Linked DNA regions of Saccharomyces cerevisiae S288C. The main gene of each other region encodes a partner of the protein of the gene in region 2 in a complex. Each region holds a gene or a part of one and is shown on either strand. Other genes may lie near its edges. A codon is read from its position in the direction of its gene.

What was found. The genes of interacting proteins can lie anywhere in the genome.
Region 1: the proteins of YPT6 (region 2) and RGP1 are in contact, whole or in part, in a cryo-EM structure (PDB 9AYR), measured with the Saccharomyces cerevisiae proteins. Residues at the interface, in NP_013363.1 of Saccharomyces cerevisiae: Leu8 (codon at 1,285), Asn195 (codon at 724), Lys196 (codon at 721), Pro197 (codon at 718), Gly198 (codon at 715), Val199 (codon at 712), Ile200 (codon at 709), Asp201 (codon at 706), Ile202 (codon at 703), Ser203 (codon at 700), Thr204 (codon at 697), Glu206 (codon at 691); in NP_010421.1 of Saccharomyces cerevisiae: Gln462 (codon at 3,109), Gln487 (codon at 3,184), Asn488 (codon at 3,187), Ala489 (codon at 3,190), Tyr490 (codon at 3,193), Gln491 (codon at 3,196), Ile492 (codon at 3,199), Asn493 (codon at 3,202), Arg494 (codon at 3,205), Asn495 (codon at 3,208), Asn496 (codon at 3,211), Glu644 (codon at 3,655), Phe645 (codon at 3,658), Thr646 (codon at 3,661), Cys647 (codon at 3,664), Tyr648 (codon at 3,667), Val649 (codon at 3,670), Pro650 (codon at 3,673).

The regions. Positions count from the first base shown.
Region 1 is NC_001136.10:726,534-730,291, forward strand, and holds RGP1 (Rgp1p), read left to right. Parts: upstream 1-1,725; coding exon 1,726-3,717; downstream 3,718-3,758. Other genes in the region: ATP-binding cassette glutathione S-conjugate transporter YCF1, read right to left, coding at 1-1,018. UniProt on the Saccharomyces cerevisiae protein: The RIC1-RGP1 complex acts as a guanine nucleotide exchange factor (GEF), which activates YPT6 by exchanging bound GDP for free GTP. It is thereby required for efficient fusion of endosome-derived vesicles with the Golgi.
Region 2 is NC_001144.5:667,586-670,710, forward strand, and holds YPT6 (Rab family GTPase YPT6), read right to left. Parts: upstream 1,307-3,125; coding exon 659-1,306; downstream 1-658. Other genes in the region: sphinganine kinase LCB5, read left to right, coding at 1-322; VPS63 (Vps63p), read right to left, coding at 652-978; TMA7 (Tma7p), read right to left, coding at 1,883-2,077; RED1 (Red1p), read left to right, coding at 2,755-3,125. UniProt on the Saccharomyces cerevisiae protein: Protein transport. Might participate in post-Golgi transport.

The DNA.
Region 1 (3,758 bases), on a different chromosome or scaffold from region 2:
ATTTTTGTGGGTGGTTATTTTCAAACCCTTGAAGAGAAGAATGGTCATCCTGTCTCTCACTGTTATAGTCTGTGACGAACTTGATTAAAATCCTTAGTAGTTGTGGTTGAGTAAATGCTAGAACATCATGAATTGCTTTAAAGAATGCGGCTAAAAGCATTTTAGATCCAAAAGTTCTGCATATAGCCCATGATAATGAAGGATTTGATTTTTGCTTCAACTCATTTTCCCAGTTTTTCTCCAATTTTTGAGAGAGTTCTTCACTACTAAAGTTCCTCGGTAATTTATATAAATCTGCTTCCACTAAGTATTTTTCATAGCCAGTTTTCATCAAACCTGACATCCAAGAGAAGGTAATCCTGGAAAATATGTTTGCGCTATCGTATGGATTTGGTTTTCTTCTTGTTAAAGTTTGATGTATGTGTTGATGTGGCATTAGCGGCTTCTTTGGAAGAGCTTCAAGTAACAGGATACTGGCACATGTTATTACTTGGAATAACGTTAGTATGAAACCCGTTTGTCCGGAATACCAAATGCCTTCGTAGGTGTGTCTAATTAGAATATTTATTAGTTTAGCAAAATTACCGAATGTTTCAAAAAGCCAATAGAATAAAAGTACCGTATTGGCTACAACTGATCTATCGTATTCTATCCAGTGTAAGGCTAAAGCAACAAATAAAGATAACATTGTAGAAGCATATTGACTTACAATGGTAAAGTTTTCCGCTTCTTCTTTAGAAATATTTAAAGACGCAAGTGAAACAAACGCTATCTCCAACAGAACTAGTGCCATCCTAGAGACAATAATCCAATTCCGCCTATATTTGATGCCAGAGTGTTTTTTCTTGCAAAGGTTAACTAAATCTCTGATACCGAAGGTTATCATGAAAATTGCTGATAGATTTAGGATCACACCGTCGATGAAGCATTGAGTAAAGTCACCGTAAAAGGATATAGGTCCAAACCCTTCAGGAGATCTACAGAGCTTGCAGGCCCATGAAACAAGATTACCAGCCATTTTCTTGTTCTTTACGGTAGTACGATACCCCTAATTTATTCTCAAACTGTTAATTGAAAAATTGTAGGTTGTAAACCAGCTTCCACATAGCAGATGATCACAAGAGGTTATCGCACCTTTTATAGCAGCTGCTAACTTTTTTCATCAATTTCGTAATTACTAAGCCGTAACCTTCCACCGCCCAAGCATCACACCAGGAGTTACATATTTTTGTATTATCATAAAGAAACACACGCCAAGATATCTACAGAAACCAGATGTTAGCATTAGATATATATATTCGTATTGATGCAGCATAACAAGCGTACTATGGATTGCAAAGTAATGTAGATTCCTGACCAGTAGATCTGCTCGCGCAAGAGAAACATTCATGAACTCTAACGACAATAACAGTAAATCCACCTCACGGAGAACGATAAAAGTCTTCATTTCTCCATGAGGTGGAAACGTTGTTTGAATATTAAACATAATACTTGAACTTCTTGTGTAATTTTTATTTTTTAATCGAAGTCTACTCCGAAGTCTCCTATAAAGCGTAAGGCGCGTCTCCAAAGTGCTATTTTTCAAGATCAATTCAGCTTCAAAGAAGCTTTGATACCTACGGGGCAATGCAAAGGCTGCCAGTCGAAACAAACAGCGAAAGCTAGCCCATAATTTCTTGAGCTGTTGATTTTGATTGTGATATTTTTCATACTTTAGAAGAAGATATGCGTGCGCACAGAATCGATACATTTCTCATAAGAGAAAACATCAAACTGGAGATCATACATGAATCGAATTCCTATTTTGGTGGAGAACATATATCAATTGCTTTCCGATTTAAGCACCTAGGCTCACAGCATGAATTGTTCAACTATAAAGAAAAGCTTCTCACTGTCGATAAAGCTGTTGAAGAGAAGTTGGAACAACAAGCGAAAGTGCAAGATGATGGTGAAGGCACGATGGAAAATCAAACCTGGTCCCTAAAATCATTACTAGGTGCCTTCAAAAGAACAGGCGAACCTGAAGAGAGTGTGGATGTGGATAACATGAAAATGCTAAATGAGAGTAAGATGTTAAGAGAAAAAATACAGAAGCAAATGTATTTTCATCAACCTGTAACGTTAATATCCGGTTATGTTCAAATATCGGGGGTCTTTCAATACGATTCAGAGGTAATTTCAGAGTCAAAATTTAAACAAGATGAAGTAAAAATGGTAGGACTAGATATTGTACCTGGACATACGACAAATTCTGTTCTTGCATTGGAAGATGGAGAACATTTCAAAGGTAAAAGAAATTTAACCAACTACCTCAACTCAGATTATACAAATGTGACCAATGGTCTTCTTTTCTCAGAAAGCGGTTCTAGGGGAAGAACAGGTACCTATAACGAACGGACCTTAATGATATCAAACGATACCAGTATAAAAACATTACCTCTTCTTTTAATACCACAGACGCTTTTATTTTCTGAAATTTCTTTAGAACCAGGTGAAGTAAGAACATTCTATTTTAAATCCACAAAGCTGCCAAAAGATATATGCCCAAGTTATTCATCGTCAAAAGTGGCATCAATAAATTACACGCTGGAGGTTGGTGCGGATGTACTTTCTGATGATAATATCGAGAAATTTTCAAATAGAGTCCCAATAACAATAGCACCATATATTAGTTCGAATGCCGAACAGTACACATCACGTCTGGATAAGCCTGCTATCATATTAAAGACAGGTAACATAAAGGAACTAAAGCCACGTTTGTTTACTCGAAAAGTTTCTACGGCTTCTGCTGTATCATTTGGTAGGAGAAAATCTTCTATAATTGACATTGATTCTCCATTAGAAGATAATGAATTTGTCAAGCGTGTCAAAAAAAACTTCATTGAACTGGTGGAATCTAACCAAAATGTGTCAAGAGATATAGACGAACTTATTGACTTGCAAATGGGGGTACAGTTCGGAAAGGATGAGGATTCTTCGGATCCTGAACCCAACGACTCACACTTTTCGAACGAAATGGTGACGTCTGCAGAGTCTAGCCTGAGAAGCGATGCTGTAACTAAGAGGAGAAAAAGTTATTCGGTACGCGATAACATTTCTAACCTCGAGCAAAAGATGTGGAACGATTGTTCTCTCGTTAAGTCAGATGAGAATTCTAATCTTCTACCTCAGCTAATTAATTTACAGAACGCATATCAAATTAACAGAAATAATGAGACTATGGCAAAAGTATCCTTATCAGCACCTTTTTATAAGACAACTGATGATATAAATTTAGTCATTGAATTAGATCCGATAACGACGCCTTTACTTAAAGTGACTTCGTTGACTGTATCCTTAGAATCGTTTGAAATTATAAATCCAAAATATAAGACTGAAGGAAAAGGAATAGGGAGCAAACCAAAAGGAAACTCGGTGTATGAGAAACATTTTATTTGTTTCGATGAGTGCAAGTCCGTATCGGTGAAATTACTTCCTCCAAGATCGCCTACAAACCAGATTACCGGACAATTCAAGACAGATGTTTTTCAACATAAGTGGATGATAGGACTAAAATTTGTAATAATTGCAAAGACAGAAAGTATCACTTTGGATCAATTTTATGAGGATAAAAAGGGCATCCTATTCCATTCAAAAGAGAATTTAGAAGGTGAAGAGTTTACATGTTACGTTCCCATTCCAATACTGTGTACATCCGAAGATTTCATGGGATGGTAAGCAATAAATGGGTGCAGTTTACTCGTATAATTGGTTTTGCA
Region 2 (3,125 bases):
GGCTGCTGACACTAAATTCTTTCCGGCAGCGCTTCCTTCAGATGGTACAATGGATATGGTTATCACCGATGCAAGAACCTCGTTGACGAGGATGGCACCAATCCTGCTGGGACTAGATAAGGGTTCCCATGTTTTACAACCGGAAGTCTTACACTCTAAAATTTTGGCATACAAGATAATACCAAAGCTAGGGAACGGCTTGTTCTCTGTCGATGGCGAGAAATTTCCTCTAGAGCCCCTTCAAGTCGAAATTATGCCACGCTTATGCAAGACGTTACTGAGAAATGGCCGTTATGTGGACACAGATTTCGATTCTATGTGACACTTTACTTAATCTTTTCCTTCGTACTGAACAATTAATCAAAAACTAGAATATGTCATTTCTATTTCTTCTATATTTTTTTTACGTTGTTGTTGTTTTTGTTGTTGTTTGATAACTTTATACACTCCATACTTCTTTATAAAAAGTTTTAATACCATTCTTTAATACAACCATGTTTAGTGAGTACTAGCTCCTACACATCAGATCGTCAAGTACATTATGATTATGATTATTATTAATATTATCAGTACAATTATTATGTGCTGGTAGTTCACTAAAAAATATGACGCACACAAAGAGTTCTCCTTATGCCCTATAGAACTGAAATATTAGGTGCTAACACTGACAAGCGCTTTGTTCCTGCTCCTCTGCTGTAGAAATATCAATGACTCCCGGTTTATTTTGGTTTGCACTATTTGCATTTTCGCTATCCAAAGGAGTTGACTCGCTGTTTTGAAATTCAGGCAGCGATTTGGCAATCTTTTTGAATAAAGCTTTGACATTATAGCCTGCCTTTGTGGACGTTTCCATAAAGATTTTAGCACCCAATAGTTTTGCTTTTTTCTCTCCCTCTTCGGTTGAGATTTGCCTTTCATCTGATAAATCACTTTTGTTACCAACAATGCACAATATAACATTTTCGTCACCTCTTTCATTTTTAACGTCTTCTATCCATTTATCAATATATTCAAATGATTTTCTCTTCGTAATGTCGTAAACGATAATAGCAACTCTCGAATCTCTGATATATGAAGGTATTAATGATCTAAATCTTTCCTGACCTGCTGTATCCCATAACTGTAATCTAATTGTCTTATCATCCAAATACATGGTCTTGGAAAGAAAATCTATACCAATCGTGGCTTGGTAATGATCATCGAACGTATCATACATAAATCTAGTGATCAGCGATGTTTTTCCAACACCCTGTTCTCCCAAAAAAACAATTTTGTACTTTGTCAATGATTTCCCGGATCTGCTCATTGTTAATCTCTTCTTTGTTTATCTTTTACTGTTCAGAATCAACAGCTTCAAACACTTCTTTTCACACAACCTTAAGTGCCCAATTGTGATATTCTTACATCATACATAGTAACAATCTATATATGGGCAATATTTTCCTCCACTAATTGAGCTGTGCTGAAGGCTTTATTACCCGGAAATTATTCGGCCATTTTTCACTAGAAGTTAATACCAGCACTAACGAATAGAAGCACCCTATTCTACTCAAGATGCCCGGTTCATGAATAGGGAGAAGTATTTTTCTTATTTTCCTTAGCCATCTATAAATATTTATCCTTATGCCTGTCACCACAATAGAAAAGGGTCCATTATATATCAGTTGTTTTCGTACCTCTAGAGAGACACGCAAGGGGCTTTATTTAGGAAACCTCCAAATTTGCTAGATGTAACCATTATACATAGTAATTACGATTGTAAAACATCGGAAAGAACGATATATCTTGCAAATAGCTTTTCTTTGGTAATATATGTATTTACTTAAAAAACGAGAACTAGAAAATACTGAGTAAATTTTTATTAGACGTTGTTAAAGGCCTTTTATTTCTTACCAGATTTTTTGATACCACCACCCACTAAAGGTTTACCACTTTTCATATTAGCCATCAAAGCTTTCTTAGCAGCAGCATCGGCCTTTTGCTTCTCTTTGAAGGCAATGTCTTCAGGATCTAAGTCCTGTTGTTGCTTCTTCTTTTGCTTTAGAGGCTTCATCTTACCACCTTGGCGACTAGACATGATTGCTTAGGGTTTTTCAGTTATTCTTCTGGTTTTGCAACTTACTGTGCGTGGAAGAGCAATCAATTACAGGATTTTAAACATGAAATTTTTTATTTTCCTCGTTCATTTTCGTCGCGGGAAACTTCCAGAAGTATAGATTTACTACAATTTTTATCTCAGGACAGAAAGAATAAACCAAAAAAGCCAAGACAAGCCAAGCCAAGCCGAGGCGACTGGAGGAGCTTTTCATCACATTCAATGACAAATCACAACAGGTTTCCCTGTTAGAAAAGGCATGTGCACTCACAATTCATATTTTCATACAGAAGATATACATTGGATTTCTGGAGATATCAGGTAAGGTTCGACAAAAACAATGGCGTTTGCCAACCCTTTATGATGGGTGATCTTGTATCCGCTTAATTGTGTGATCTAAAAAGGCAAAGTAACGTATTATTGGCTGGTTTATATAATTTGAATATGACTACTTTTTCAACGTTAAAAACGATAAATACTTGCTCAAAGGGTTCAGCGGCTAAATAAACTACGATTTCGCAGCAGGATCAGATGGATTCAATCACATCATTCGCAAAACATTCACATCATTCGTGAAGCATTAAAGGTAATAAGAAAAATAGAACAAAGATTTTTTAATCAGTGAGGACCACAAAGGGACAGCAAATACGGTGATAAGAATGGAAGGTTTGAAGAAAAAGATTTTTGGTGTTTGCCTGAAAAATGACTTAGCACAGACTAGGAATGAAACGAAAGGAATCCACTATGGGTTAATGACTTTGGAAACTTCTAAACAACTGCAGGAATTTCTCCATTTGCTAGTAATAAAGAGAGAAGTAATTCAAAATTTTGAGTTGTTATTTCACATCATAAATGTTGCCGTTAAAATCACCGATTCAAATCTTCCAAGTGATGATATCTGGCATTTCATTTTAAAATTAAGATTTTCTTCTGAGATTAATATAGACGAAGACTCCAAAGTTTTAAATTATTTACTTGAGACTGGCATCGCAATGGAAAATCCAGTCAGTTGGAAATGCTTGGCCGTTAT